Linked DNA regions of Danio rerio. The protein of the gene in region 1 binds, or shares a complex with, the protein of each later gene. Links are inferred from orthologs where the notes say so. Each region holds a gene or a part of one and is shown on either strand. Other genes may lie near its edges.

Evidence for each region.
Region 2: strn3 (region 1) and stk24b share a complex: the UniProt entries of both Homo sapiens proteins name them as parts of the core of STRIPAK complex. The link is inferred for Danio rerio from reciprocal best matches to the Homo sapiens genes STRN3 and STK24.

What each region holds. Positions count from the first base shown.
Region 1 is NC_133192.1:30,203,145-30,210,574, reverse strand, and holds part of strn3 (striatin-3), read right to left. Parts: intron 7,382-7,430; coding exon 7,205-7,381; intron 7,111-7,204; coding exon 6,972-7,110; intron 6,877-6,971; coding exon 6,735-6,876; intron 2,013-6,734; coding exon 1,876-2,012; intron 1,524-1,875; coding exon 1,348-1,523; intron 1,205-1,347; coding exon 1,157-1,204; intron 1-1,156. UniProt on the Homo sapiens protein: Calmodulin-binding scaffolding protein which is the center of the striatin-interacting phosphatase and kinase (STRIPAK) complexes.
Region 2 is NC_133181.1:13,507,459-13,514,888, forward strand, and holds the end of stk24b (serine/threonine-protein kinase 24), read left to right. Parts: intron 1-4,823; coding exon 4,824-4,972; intron 4,973-5,116; coding exon 5,117-5,156; 3' UTR 5,157-5,847; downstream 5,848-7,430. UniProt on the Homo sapiens protein: Serine/threonine-protein kinase that acts on both serine and threonine residues and promotes apoptosis in response to stress stimuli and caspase activation.

The DNA.
Region 1 (7,430 bases):
ATTTTGAGAGGGTGCTCGCTGCAGAGCCATCTGAGGAGAGCTGAGCTCCAGCGAGGAGGAGCATGAGCTGTCGCTCCTCCTCCTGTAAGCTGTTTTAATGCGTACACCAACCCCACCCCTAACCCTACCCCCAGTGACATCACTCGTAGAAGAAGTGCAAAAAAGGTGGAGCTCAAGCTTAAGCTCCCCCTCGCTGGAGCTCAGCTCTCTTCAAATGGCTCTGCAGCGAGCACCACTTGAATATTTTCAGCTGCTTGCAGCAATTGCTTATGTTAGGTGACTCACGCTCTGCGCAGTTTTCAACTGCAGCTCGTGCTGTATTGAACAGACGCATGTCACTTCATAACTATGGTAACCGTTTTATGACTAAACTAAATTTATTTTTGATGTCTTGGTCACACTTTTCCTGCGGGCTGCCAATTGAATAGCCCTGACCTACACAGACCTGTGTTTGCAGCAGGTCGCCACCCAGAGCGACAGGCAGCTAAAAAATCACTGTTAGTTTGAATGAGGCATAAGTCTTCATAAAATTTTGGCACTTCAAAAACAACAAAAACAAAATAGCTACATTTATATCTTTTATCATTTAATCATGATGTTTGCGGTTTCACACATTATGAAAGACCGACTGAATTTTTTTATAATGGTGAACCAGCCCTGGAAAATTACTCATATTCTTCCAATACATGTCATTACAATACAAAAGTTATCAAAGTGTGACGAAGCCTGTTAGAATGTCGTTATAATGAGCCATTAATTTCAGGAATAACTGACAAATTATGGGTGAGAGTTGAAAGTATGAGTGGATTTGAAATTTGATGCTGATTTTGCATCAAACTTTCAGCACACAAGAATCCTGAGTGAGATACCTTTCAGACACAATGTTTTTTGCTACATCAATGAAATTTTTTCGAAAAAAAGTTGGAGGAGAACATTTTGCAGGGTTTTGTCCCTGAATGAACAAATCAAGTGAGCTAATAACTCAATAATCTCTTCATTAAGACAGTCCTTTGCTTCAGGTCAAAATGAATCTGACATTTTGAACTAATCGCTTGAATTAATAACCCTCGCCTAAAAATCAAGATGTTACTTTATGGTCAAAATCACACACCAAAAACCAATAAGTGAAACAAAGAAGGTAATAACAAATACTTACATATGCCCTCTAAACGTGTATATAGGCTCCACATCAAAAGAGGCACTTCTGCAAAGCAAGTTAAAACTGTGTTTAGTGGTTTATTTAGAGCTGTTACAGATAAAAAACATTTTGAAATCAATGCGGCTATGTAAAACATTAATTCAAACTCAGGACATTGCTTTCCTTGGAAGGCCACTGCGAGCACTTACTTTTTGGCAGGAACGGTCTTGTGGAGGTTCCACAGTTTGAGCGTGTGATCTTCTGAGACTGTGACCAGCACCGGCTCTACAGGATGGAAAGCCAGGGCTCGCACTCCATCAAAGTGGCTACGCAGGGTATATTTGGGATTCCATGTCTTCCTGAATGCATCCTTATTGGCTGGCAGCTAAAAATAGGGGGGCATTTTAAAGGCATTGGAATAACTGTGAAATGATTGATTCATTAAGGATTGACAGTAAGAGAATAGGATAGCTGTCCTATCTGAGTACACAGCAAAGCACACCAGGCATGAACAACTGATGTTCTCTGTAACCTTTATACAGAATGAAACTAATATAGTACAAGACATTTGAGTAAACATGATGGGCTTTGTTTTGTGTAACAATTAACTGATAGTTAAACAATACTGCATTTAAAAATTAAGCAGGGGATCAGACAGTGTTTTTCAAGTCGATGCTATTATTTATTAATGCCAGTGTAAAGTATTATTAAAGCAGAGGAGCAGTCTGGGTACTTACATCATAGCTGTATTCAGCCTCGTCATTGGAAACAGTCAGATCGGCGAGGTCTCCCAGGCCCAGCACACTTTCCAACATGTCATCAGAACCCATGATAAAGGACTTGCCCCCACCAGGCGTGAATGGCAGAGGCTCAGCTAAGAATAGAAAATAGAAGAGAAGGGCCCAGTAAACAAGGCGCCACACCTTGGAGTGGAAAACGGGGCTTAAGCAATACAGTAATATGTTTTATAGCAGTTAACAGCTTAATAAATCTGTAAGCCACTGGTAAGAGGCAATTAGGGGTCGATTAGAGATAGATGAGATCCATTTCTTGTTACCCAGTGTTTTAACCTAACACTTTTGTCCACTTCCCTATTTTTTTGTGGTGAAGGTAATGGGTGGATATATCTATGGTCTTTTTATAATCTTTGGGAGTATGATCTACCATCCTCTAACAGTGTAAAATAAGCAAGCCAAGGGTACAATGGATAACAATAGAGAAAGTTGAAGCTTCCATTTTTCTGCCACTTTTGAAATGGTTAAAAGTAAAAAATAAAAAAAAAATAAAAAAAGCTAGCTTTGAGCATGCAATTGTAATGAGCTCAACAAAAAACAGAGCCTAACACAAAAATGGATTCTAAAGTGTCATTTACACAAATACAATTCTTTTTAAAACCAAGTTGTTACAGTTACATTGATGGCAGATCAATGATAAGGCGAAATAACCTACTGTAACATCTGCAATTATATAAAATAAATAAATGCAACATGCATGAAAACATACAAACCAAGTCTCCGATATGTTACTCATTAAAAAATAACGGCACACAGCATACATTTCCTTATTTGGGGTTCAAAAACAACACACAATATAGCCCAAAGTCAGTGCAGACCTCTCAACTGCATATTCAATCTTCACTAGCACATGTAGCCTCTGTTAGAAAGTAATTCCATCATTTAGAGTTCTTAATAGTTGAGAAGGCAATGATAATAGGTAAACATGGCAGTTTAAAAAAAAAAAAAAAAAGCTTCCTTTGTTTTCATTCACCTGGCTTGCACATGAGCTAGTGATGCTTCTCTGTAAACCAATAGCGTTCAGCTGTGCGTCTTGCTCCACCTTTTGTAACCCATTTGTTGTGATAGGTAACCTTCCAAAAGGGTACCTAAAAAGTGGTACGCTACGGTTTGCTCGTTGGTACTTTTTGACAGTGGAAATGGCCATAAAAGCATACCGAATCATACCGAATCATACCATACCGGACCGTAACAATCAGTGGAAATGAGCTGCTAGTATCCACACTACTTAATCATTTTTGACCAATAAAAACTTGCCCGGCTATCCACAATCACTTATTTTTACTGTGAACGTAAATATAAAAATAAAAAACATATTTACAAACTCTATTCAAGTAACATTCATATGTGGTTTGAAATGCTACTTAAATAACATTTCTTCTGGAAATCTGTTTTAGTTTGACCGTTCTTTCCCTTTTACTCATTTAACTTCCTTATGTCAGACACTGTTTGTAAAAAAAAAAAAAACATCCTTTTTTCTGAAGGACAATCTTGCTTGTACAAACCTGCTTGTACAATCTGTAGCCAAATATTCCTTACAAATTCTTTCTGAACAACTGCTTTAGAGAGGTTTATGTTTCCGGCTTAATTTACTTTAGAGGTGTTAGGTGCATGCATGTCTTATTAATGAAGCCGCAATGGGTGTGACGAATTAAAAGAAAGAATTATGATACACCTGGACCTGGAGTTAAAATGCTCACTTTGAAAAGGTAACTTTGCTTGCAAACTTTTGGAATGAAGAAACGTTCAGAAACAAAAGTCTGGGTTAATCAACAGAGTTTATGTTTCAGGAATACACCACGTATTGATCAAATGTTTAAATGTAATAAACATCCCAATTTAGGGGTGACACTTCACACATAATTATGCTACTTTATCAAAAATGCATACTCTATAGTAAGATTTACATAATCCTTAGCTTAGAAATAGGTCAAAGAGAAGTGAGTAAGATAAAAAGAGTGAGAGATACAAAAAGAAAAAGCACGGCTGCGGGATGGATGTAATGAGCTGATGTGTTTGACCCAGCTGGCTCTGGTCGGAGCAGTAAGAGAATCTCCTGGCAGGAATGCTGATGCAGCAACTGGCCTCGTTAAGATTCTACTGCAGGGCCGGTGTGTGCCACAATCACATGCAAGGAACACACATGCCCATACAGACACAGATTCATATAGTTCATTATGTTTTCACATTTATGCAGTCTCTTTTCTTTAATTAAAAGACTAGCAAACTTGCATAATGTCAAAACAGCTCATTTCCATACACTAAACATTAATGCTAATGTTTACTAATGGACTATCATCATCACCTGTATGTTCCAAGCTTTGTAAGACCACAAAAAGTCAAAATCAACAATGTCATATTTGGGGCAATAAAAAAATTATATTCTTTATTAACACATCAATATGTTTTATTTACTTCTAAAGGATCATGTGACAAGTAATGGCTGCTGAAAATCTGTTGTCATAAAAAAAAAAAACAATTATAGCATCACTATGGTGCTATGATGTCCTGTTTAGAAGTCTTCAATATAAACCACTTTTGATTTGACCAATCACAAATAAATGAACATTCTAAAATCTAATATAAAAAACAGAGCTGGATCAACACTAGGCTGGGTTGATAATAAATAGTTCTTGTTTGGATGAACCTTTAAATTTCAGTCCATATTTCAATACTACACACTAATAAGGATGTCCTGCTTAATAATCAAACACTCAAATCCTGTAAGAATATTAAGAGATGTGCCCTGTTTCATCACTTGACAATTATTATGTATTTCAAAATATAAGACATTTTTTCATTTAAAAAGGATGCAACCTAAACTCCAAAGTGACTTAATGGAATTAGTATGAGGTGAGCAAAACAAATGCATTGGTGGATTGGTGATGAATGAGACACACAACTATTTAGATTATAGCACATATTTTATATATATATATATATATATATATATATATATATATATATATATATATATATATATATATATATATATATATATATATATATATATAATAATGCTAATCATTTCAGTTTTGCTTTGAATAAACAAGTTTAGACTTGACATTTATATTGAATTATGCTTTCAGCCACTGACATAACAACTGCTTTTTATTCTTGATAGTTTTTTCATACCTATTGTTCCTTTTCTGTACTGAGCACTATTAAAAAGATTTGTTGTAGAGTGACATAGTAGAATATACGTTTATAATGTCTGTAGGCATTTCAGTTTATTTAGGGCTACTGGCAGCCAATTTCATACTACTTTGGAATGAATTATAGACTTGCACACCAATGTGACCTGTGTTTTTCACTCAATAACACAAATTATACTCAGTCACACTTAGTGGCTCTTTATGCGACAACAATTTCAGCCAATATCTCAAAACGTTTGAAGTATTTTGCTTGTTCGTTTAGCATTTCTGTGACATTACCTGCATAAATATGAAAATGGATTTCAAAGTTAAAGTTATTAAGAACATTGTCGCCTTTTTTTCAATAACTATTTTTTTGGGGCTTACACAATGACGTCATGTGTGTGCACATTTAGGGAGATGCAGATTAAAGGCAAGCCCAAATAAACACACAACAGTGGCACAGTACATGCTAGTGTTGTTGATGCTCAACTGTTGGCTAATGCTTCAGGAGCAAGGTGTGGATTTACTTTGCATTACAAGCAACAGCATAGACGCATCTTACACACTTTGAATTCTACATAAACATCAGCGCAGAGCCGCCAACTGAACATCATTCCTTCCTTGGGGTACTATTTTCTAACAAGTAGGGCTGAACAATATACCGCTTGCGCATTGATTTCGCAATGTGTTTTTCCACAATAGTCACATCGCAGTATTCAATTGATTAAATATCAAAATATAAAGAAAATGCTGAATATAATTTTTATATTATTGCATACAAGGTTTAAACAATGATTTGTACAATATTTTTGTATGGTTTTGTATTTGAATACTGTTAGACTCCACAAAAAAAGCACTGTTTATTAAACTTTTATTTTTACTCTGTCATATTTAGACACACTGCATAGAAATAGATTTGATCACCTCAGTCAATCTCAAAGAATGACATCTTTCCAAATAGGTTGGAGCTATTCAGTGAATCTAGTGATTATATTCATAACGCAATATTATATCGCAGCAAAACTAAATATTGCCATATCAGTTTTTTTAACATTATGCAGCCCTACTAACAAGGTGAAAACATCAAATACTGCTCTGCCAAATATAAATCAGTGTTTTAGGACATTTTCATAAATGTATTTTGAAAAAGATATGTAAATGTGAAACTTTTTTTTAATGCAAGTAAAAAAAGTTTTCAGTTTTTGGTTACATTGTTGACAAGAAAATGTAGCCTTAAGTCACTTTTTCACTGTGTGGTTAAAAAAAAGCAAAGTGGATGAGATTATACGTTTTTTTGCACCGCATCTACTAAAATGTAACCTAATTCCTGGTTGCCACATCCAGATCACACTGGATCTGCTTCTTGAATATCAACATGAGGAACGTCTGCACCTTCTCTACTGACCATGATACAGCCATTAGAAGATGCGTGTCAGTCATTGAAAATAATCCCACAGCGGCTGATGCTGACTATTTATTTACATCTTGCAGGTTTGTTGTGTCGTGTTACAATGACGCAGGTAGTGACGATTCTCTCTTTTAGTTTCTGCACAGCTCACTTCAAAACTCAACAGAGGTATACCAGGTACTCTGCACAGTGCAAATCTCCCAAAAGTGTGATGTACCATAGTAAAGCAGCATTAAAGTAAAAAGCAAACTATTTACCCCACTCTGTGCCGTCTCCAGAACTCCGAGCTTCCCCAGCACCTTCTCCATCCTCCGCATTCACCAAAAAGTCAAACTCTTTGAGTGCGTCCTCTGTGTCAGGGTCATCCGGCAAGTCTGAAGCCAATCCTTCATTTCCGACCTGGAAAAGTAGTCAAGACTACAACACATGAACTTCTATATCCTGAGAATGACTACTTTGAGATCATTGACATGTAAAATATCCTGGTTACACACCTTAATCTTATGTTTTTTTATTCTGCGTTTATCGCTCCTGTCAGGCACATCCTCCATTATATCACCCTCATCATCATCTTCTTCATCACTATCATCAGCGTTTTCTAAAAAATTAAATGTCTCCAGAACTTCTGGATTCCTGTTAAACAAAAGGCATCACAGACAACGTTAAGAAATCTCATTTAATTGTTTATATGAATTTACCAGTTGCATCAAATCAAATCAATCAACACCTTTTCATGTCTTGTCCCTTTCTTTTGGCTGGAGATTCGCCTCCATTTAGAATTTGTTCTAGGTTCTTGGTTTCCACGGAACCATTCTGCTCTGAGCCGGACAGTCCTAGTAATGACCGCACTCGCTGCGTCCGGACGTCCAGTATTGTGTCCGTATAACCTACTTCCTGAAGATATCTTGAAAAGACAGATGCGTAAAGTCGGTCAGAACAGAGCCGGTGATATA
Region 2 (7,430 bases), on another chromosome or scaffold:
TCTCAGAAGGGCGAATAATTTTGACTTCAACTGAAAATCGTTTTGAATAATCGTGATTACAATTATGACCAAAATAATCGTGATTATGATTTTTCCCATAATCGAGCAGCCCTAGTCTTACTCATGAATGAATGCAGCACACTCAGAGACGTAATAAGGCACTCCCAGGTACAGAGGTCCAGTCTACACGCTGAAATACATGCTAAGATCTCATGGCCGTGATGCAGCTTCAAAAATTAGTTTCAAACCGGAAGTACGCATTTGCTTGAAATGACGCAAAAACAACCAATTTTCACTTTTTAGTGAGATATACGTGTCCTAATAGTGTTTTTAGCCATGTGGTACACATAAGGCTGTCAACAGCTTAAAAAAATGTGTTTTGCTGTTTCGTCACCCTTGAATTGTGAAGAAACAGAAAACATAATTTTTTTCAACAGATATTAAATTCAATGCAATAAAGGAGCTCTCCACTTTTTTTTGGAAGTCCTCTAGAGTTTTACAGTTTTTGAATCCATTCATCTGATCTCAGGGTTTGGCGGGAGCATTTTATGCTTGGCTTTTACACTCAAAAAAATATTTTGGGTTTTGTTCAAACTACTTATTTAACCAACAATAAAAGATAGATGATAATAGAAGAGCAAATTGAAATATGAAATGATTTGCAAAGTTTTCTGTAAATTAGAGCTGTGAACTTGGTCTCACGGTTTGGTTCGGTTACGATTATCATGCCATCAATTCAGTTCAATTCGATATCTCGATGCATCACGATGCATTGACGATGCTTTACGTACACAATTCTTTTATTAAAATGTATGAATATATTTATCTACTATTTGTAATACAATGTTGTCCTTTAATACGCACAGTGAGATATATAAACAGTACCATTAAACAACACAAGCATTTATAGCAAATAAAGAAATATAAATATCATGCTCGCTTTCTGAGCCTTGTCTACCAAGTTTTTACACCCCTTTGATTGGTTACGCGCTCAACAAAAAGGGCTATGATTGGCTCTTCCTCACTGCTGCTCTTCACAGATGAGTGACACTAATAAACGGCAGCGGTGGTCACAGCTAATCCTTGATAGAGACGGTGGAGAAAACTCTGCAGACAACCGCTCGTGACTGTATCCAAAGGTATCGCTGTAACAGCCGAGAGGAGGGGAAAAGTCATGCCAGCAGGTCAAATGAGCCACAGTGAGAGACAGAGAGAGAGAAGTGGAGTTTACTTTCTCTCAATCGCAGTGAAATAGGGACATCTGCTGTAAGTGTCAGTGAAAGACTGTCCAGCAAACACACACACAGTGAAATAGTGCACAGCTTCTGCGTTTTTAAGTAGTAAGTATGGTAAACAACTGCCACATAGCGCATATGAGATAAATGACGTCAGTATATAATAATGATTTTTACTGAACCGATACCGAATTGTCCTCGTATGCATCGCGGTGCACCGAAGAAACAAGTAATTTTGACACCCCTACTGTAAATCCTGAAATTCAGCTTTAAATTGCAGGAATAAAGTTCACTATACAACATATGAAAACACTTATTTTTAAAATATAAATAATATTTCACAATAATGCCTTTTTTGTTACTGTATTTATGATTAAACAAACACCTTAGACTTTTTCAAAATGATAAAACAGTTCTTGATCTAGAACTTTGACCGCTAGTGTAAATTTGCATGTATCTTTTCATATGGGAGTTTTCTTATGCAATATGTAGGCTACCTTTTCTGTAATTCACCTAGGGCTACTTTAGGATTTTATTGCTTCGCCACTGATATATTAAAAGATATCATCATGAAGATTAAAAGTGGCCCTCAAATGCTTTGATATCTTATAAGTATCTTTTAAAGGCGTCCGTCACTCCCTCAGGCCTCTTGCTAATCAGTATGGAGCAGTGAGGTGTTTGAGGAGGAGAGCGGAAAATAGAGGAATGCTTTGGGAAAGAAAAAAGCCCAGGGAAAAGTGACTGCACACTAATTTGTTCCACCATCTCCTTACTTCAAGGACAAACCCTTCATGAGAGAGAAGAGCCTGAACTGGACACTTGACTAGAAGAAGATCAGTTTAAGAGTTAACCATATGATGATGTGTCATGTGACCATAGAAGAATGAGATAAAGATTTATGCAGTTGCAGTTGTTTAACAGAGAGAACTTTTTTTTTAACACGATTCTAAACAGAATTTCTATACAGAATTCAAACAAAGTTTGAATAACTGATTTCTTTTATCTTTGCAATAATGGCAGTACATAATATTTTACTAATTATTCTTCAAGATACTTGTATCAGCCTAAAGTGAGATTTAAAGGCTTAACTAGGTTAAATAAGTTTACTAGTTAGGGTAATCAGGCAAGTCATTGTATAGCAGTGGTTTGTTTGGAGAAATAAATGGTTGAGGTGGTTAATAATATTGGTAATTAAAATGATTTAAAAAATAAAAACAGCTTTTATTCTAGCCAAAATAAAACAAATAAGACTTTCTCCAGAAGGAGAAAAATTATTAAAAATTATTAAAATTAATTAGCCCTTTAAGATATATTTTTTCTCCACTGTCTACAGAACAAACCATTATTAAGCATTAACTTTCCTAATTACCCTAACCTACCTAGATAACCTAATACACCTAGTTAAGCCTTTAAATATCACTTAAAGCTGAATAGAAGTGTCTTCTAAATATTAAGTAAAATATTATGTACTGTCATCATAGCAAAAATAGAATAAATCAGTTATTAGAGATGAGTTATTGAAACAATTATGTTTAGAAATGTGTTGGAAAAAAACTTCTCTCCATTAAACAGAAATTGAGAAAAAAAATAACTAGGGGGGCAAATAATTAAGGGGCCTAATAATTCTGACTTCAAATATATATATATATATATATATATATATATATATATATATATATATATATATTTGCATATATTTACATAATACAAAATTAACAACATTTTGATATAAGTGACCCAATATTACTATAGTGTTTTAAATGAAAATAAATAGTTAAAATAAAAGTCAAAATATAGGTATTTATCATTATTCAGTGTAACATTTCTTTTTTTGCCAATAATATTAATTGCAGTTTATGCAGATACAATATTATATAAATACAAAAGTAAAAATGCTGCCGTTTTATATCCAGTCCCTATCATCAAAACCAAGTACAAATGACCATTTAAAATAAACATTTAAAATAAATAAACAGAGTAAATGTACAAAAAGGGAGTTATTCCTCTTCTGCTTCAAGATCAGTAGTATCATTATAATTCAACAAAGGTTTATAAAAAGCTTTTAAAGAGCCTCTTAATGAAAACCCTATTTAAACACACAAAAGAAATAATTTTATCTATCAATCATGTGAAGATGAATGTTTCCACTTAAAGAGAATAAGCGTCCCAGTGTAACAGATTACTATAAGTCATTATACTAAATATTATATTTGAAATGAAAATCAGTCAAATCAAGTGATAGTGGCATAATATAATAACTCAATAGTTTAAAATAGTTTAATATGAAGTTTGATTCTTTGATCACATGACTCTAGTTTGAAAAATGCAAAGAAGTTTTGCCGAATATTGCTAAATTAAATGTCACAAATCAGTGAAATTGAGTAATAGGGGCATGATATAAAGATTTAAAATGACAGTGAATTAGTATTTCATGCCTGCGCTTTGATTTTAAAATAGTAGAATGTAACGTTTGATTCTTTGATCAAAAAATTTTTTATTTTTTATTTTTTACCTTTTTTTTTAAACATTTTACAGCAAAACCCTGTCCCCAACAATTTAACCCCTTACACATGAGGGGATACATAAAAAATAATAATGAAATTAGAATTTTAAAAAATCTATTAAAAGAAAACAACAAAAATAAATAACAGCTATTGCCATTTATTATTACTTTACAGAGAATACATTTGGACATCAGGTTACATTGTGTTGCATTGTAGTAACCTCAAATTACAGTTATTTGTTATGATAACAAATGATGATGATAAGTTAAGTTACCTTCAAATATACAAATCTAAATATGTCATAATACTTTTCCACCTCTTCAGAAAAATACCAGTCTCCATTTGTAGACATGCAGTCATTTTTTGCATTATATAGACCTGTGTGTCTCTGAATCCACTGAGCCACCTTTGGAGAGCTTTCTTCCATCCAATGTACTGTTATTGATTGAATAATTATTGTTGGAAATACGCCAAGATATTCCGCCACACTGAATGTTTTCCTTTGTAAATAAAAAAGTCCTGTTGCTCTTTAAAAAGAAAAAAAAGAGATGCTGTATAACGTATAAACATTTTAGCAGTATTAAACCTTTACTATGTTGATACTTCAAAACCTTTTTTTTCAATATACAGTAGAAGTCAACATTTGAAGTGGATCAAATGTTTTTCAAAATGGTTTTGCTTTGATGAAACGTTCATCAAACCTTCAAATGTTGACTACTGTATATTACTACTACAGGATATAGCCTGAGCTAAAGTAGCAGTCATAGCTGGTTAAATGTCTCATTAGCACTGTAAACAATGTTTACTCTAGAAGCTGTGTCTGTAGTAAAAGTATGCTGTGGATAGAGTCATAAGCTGGATATCATTTGTGTGTGTGTGTGTGTGTGTGTGTGTGTGTGTGTGTGTGTGTGTGTGTGTGTGTGTGTGTGTGTGTGTGTGTGTGTGTGTGTGTGTGTGTGTGTGTGTGTGTGTGTGTGTGTGTGTGTGTGTGTGTGTGTGTGTGTGTGTGTGTGTGTGTGTGTGTGTGTGTGTGTGTGTGTGTGTGTGTGTGTGTGTGTGTGTGTGTGTGTGTGTGTGTGTTCAGCTGAAGGAGGGAGCAGGAGAGGCTGCTGCAGCGACGACGGTAAAGCCTGAGGTTCTGGAGCAGCTCGGAGAAGCTATATTTTTGGCTGAGGAGGCTTATCCAGGCATCTCAGACGTCATGGTCACTCAGCTTATTCAGCGGCTACAACGGTAAGGACTTCCTCAAGGGTCATTAGTGTTTTTAAATCTATTAAATCTCCGTTAAACAGAAATCGGAGGGTGAAATATACAGGAGGGCTAATTATTCTGACTTCAACTGTACAAGTATTTCAACTTCCGTGTTCTCCTATGCAGGTTCTCTAGGGCAAGAACATCATCGTCATCGCACCAGTGATTACTCCATTGGCCTGTCCGTCTCTCTTAAGTCCCGCCCCCTCCCCCCGGCATCAGCTCAGCGAATCCTGACACCAGCAGACTCTGTGACGTCTACCCTGGAGGACCAGCTGTCCTTCTCAAACTCCTCAAAGCTTCCCCTAGTTTCACTCTTCTTTTATAATCTCCTGGAACACTTTGGAGTGTGTGTGCGCAAATGTGTGTGTGTGTGTGTGCGTCATAGTGTGTTTGTAATGGAGACTGCTTAAGCAATGGAGAAAAAACCTAGATGTAACTCCTCCGGCTGAGCAGAGCGTGATTCTTTGGAGGCAGGTCGTTTTTTGCATTAACGCTTTTGGAAGGAATGCATTAAAAGTATGCCATCAGAGGGCGAGGAGGCCCGAAAAACAAAATACAAGATAGTGTGCATGACTCTGAACAAAATGCATGTGTGGGGACGGATGTGTGTGTGTGTGTCTGTGTGTGTGTGTGTGCGCATCCAAGCCCTGATGTGAAGGAGATTGCAGTATTCGTGCTGAAATCTCAGGTAATCCAGGAAGACAGAGGGCGCTATGTTTGGATTTGTGTACAGATCTGTGTATATAGTTTCAATTTTACAGACCTTTAAAAAGAGATGATGGATTTTTTTGCAAATGAATCACTGTGTACAGATGGCCAAGAGCTTCTGTAGATATTGTTAGAAACAAAAGAAAGGTAAATATTTAAAAAACAACAACAACAAAAATCAAGCCTCTGAAATGGCCATTACTGAAATGCCTTGCCTTTTTATCAAATGTACATTTTTGGGGGTGCTCTGTTAATTTTAATAAGAAATTAAAGGGTTTTACTCAAAAAAAAAATTTATCTGACTTTCTTATTTTCATCTGTTTTGGACTTAAAATGATACTTTTCGTCATTTGTGTTATAGACAAACTACCATTTTGTAAACATTGAGCATGCGCACAGCGAAGTTGCAGAAAAAAACAGGAGCGTTAGCATTTACAGCAAGTGAATGCTATCCGATGCAGTACAGAGATTGTTGTTGTATTAGAGATAAGTTATATTGATTACATATTATATATATTATTTACATAATGCTTTCAGCGTATTATAACAGCTCGTCACCCAGTGACAACCACAGTTATTCTGCAAAATTAAGCGATGTGCGTCTGACAGGTCCATTTGCGACAGCACCCTCCCAATGGATATTGGATAAGGTGAAATGGCCAAACATCCAGCCCCAAATATACAACTATCTCATTAAAACTCCACGTGATTCTACAAGAGAGAAGCTAAAGGCCAACAAGTCTTTGGATGCCTACAATTTTGTTCTGTGTGGTCATGTGCAAGAGATAATGTTCCATGATTACCAGATTCAAAACTGTAGCGCTAAAAACCGAGGAAAAGGCCAAAGACAAGGAAAGAAGATGGAACTGTACAAGGCCTGGGTAATCATCAACAAGCAAAACAACTGCATTCTGACAGTGAACTGCACCTGTACGGCAGGGTATGTGAAATGACACTTTTACATTTCATTCTTAGAAACTCTCTGCAGTTTAATGAACCATATTTAACTGTTTTTGCTGAAATCATTGCTGCAGTCAAAAGTGAGTAATGTGTATGATTCAGCATAGCCTAAACTCACTTGATATGAAATGAGAGAATTAGTTAGCTTTTTGTTGAGCATTTTTAAATAGGTCATCACTCCATTCAGCTCTTCTGATGGCCATAAGCCAAAGACGTCTGCTGTTGGCAATAAAAGCAGTGTGGTGTACGGTAAAATTAAAGTTTTGTATTTGGACTTTCGATTTTGGCATCCTACCGCACAACACCACATGTTTGCTATTGCAACCGGTCTATTTTTGCAGTCGGTATGGTATGGTTGGTAATTCCCCTATTAAGCCTGGTTCATACTTCTGCGTCAAGTGATCGGCGTGACCCTCGGCAAGCCTTTCACGGTGCAGTGCATTTATACTTCTGCGCACTGTTTCTGTTGCTCTGCAATAACACTTCTGAAACACTAGCTGGCAGTGATGTGTTTATGTACTTCACTGGTGTTTTGTTTTTTCTGAATGCTTCCTTAATGTACAAGTGGCTCAAACTCACTCATTTTGAGGCAGGAACCAGCGCACGTGCAACAACTTTAACCATAAGATAAACACAAAACAAAACTTTCCATCTGGAGTTCCTTCACGGGACTCCACACCTGTAAACACTCGCTCCAGCAGACTCGCGCGGCTCTCGGTACTGCTCACACTCATCGATACCTAGCCGACCAATCACAAATCTTGCGCTA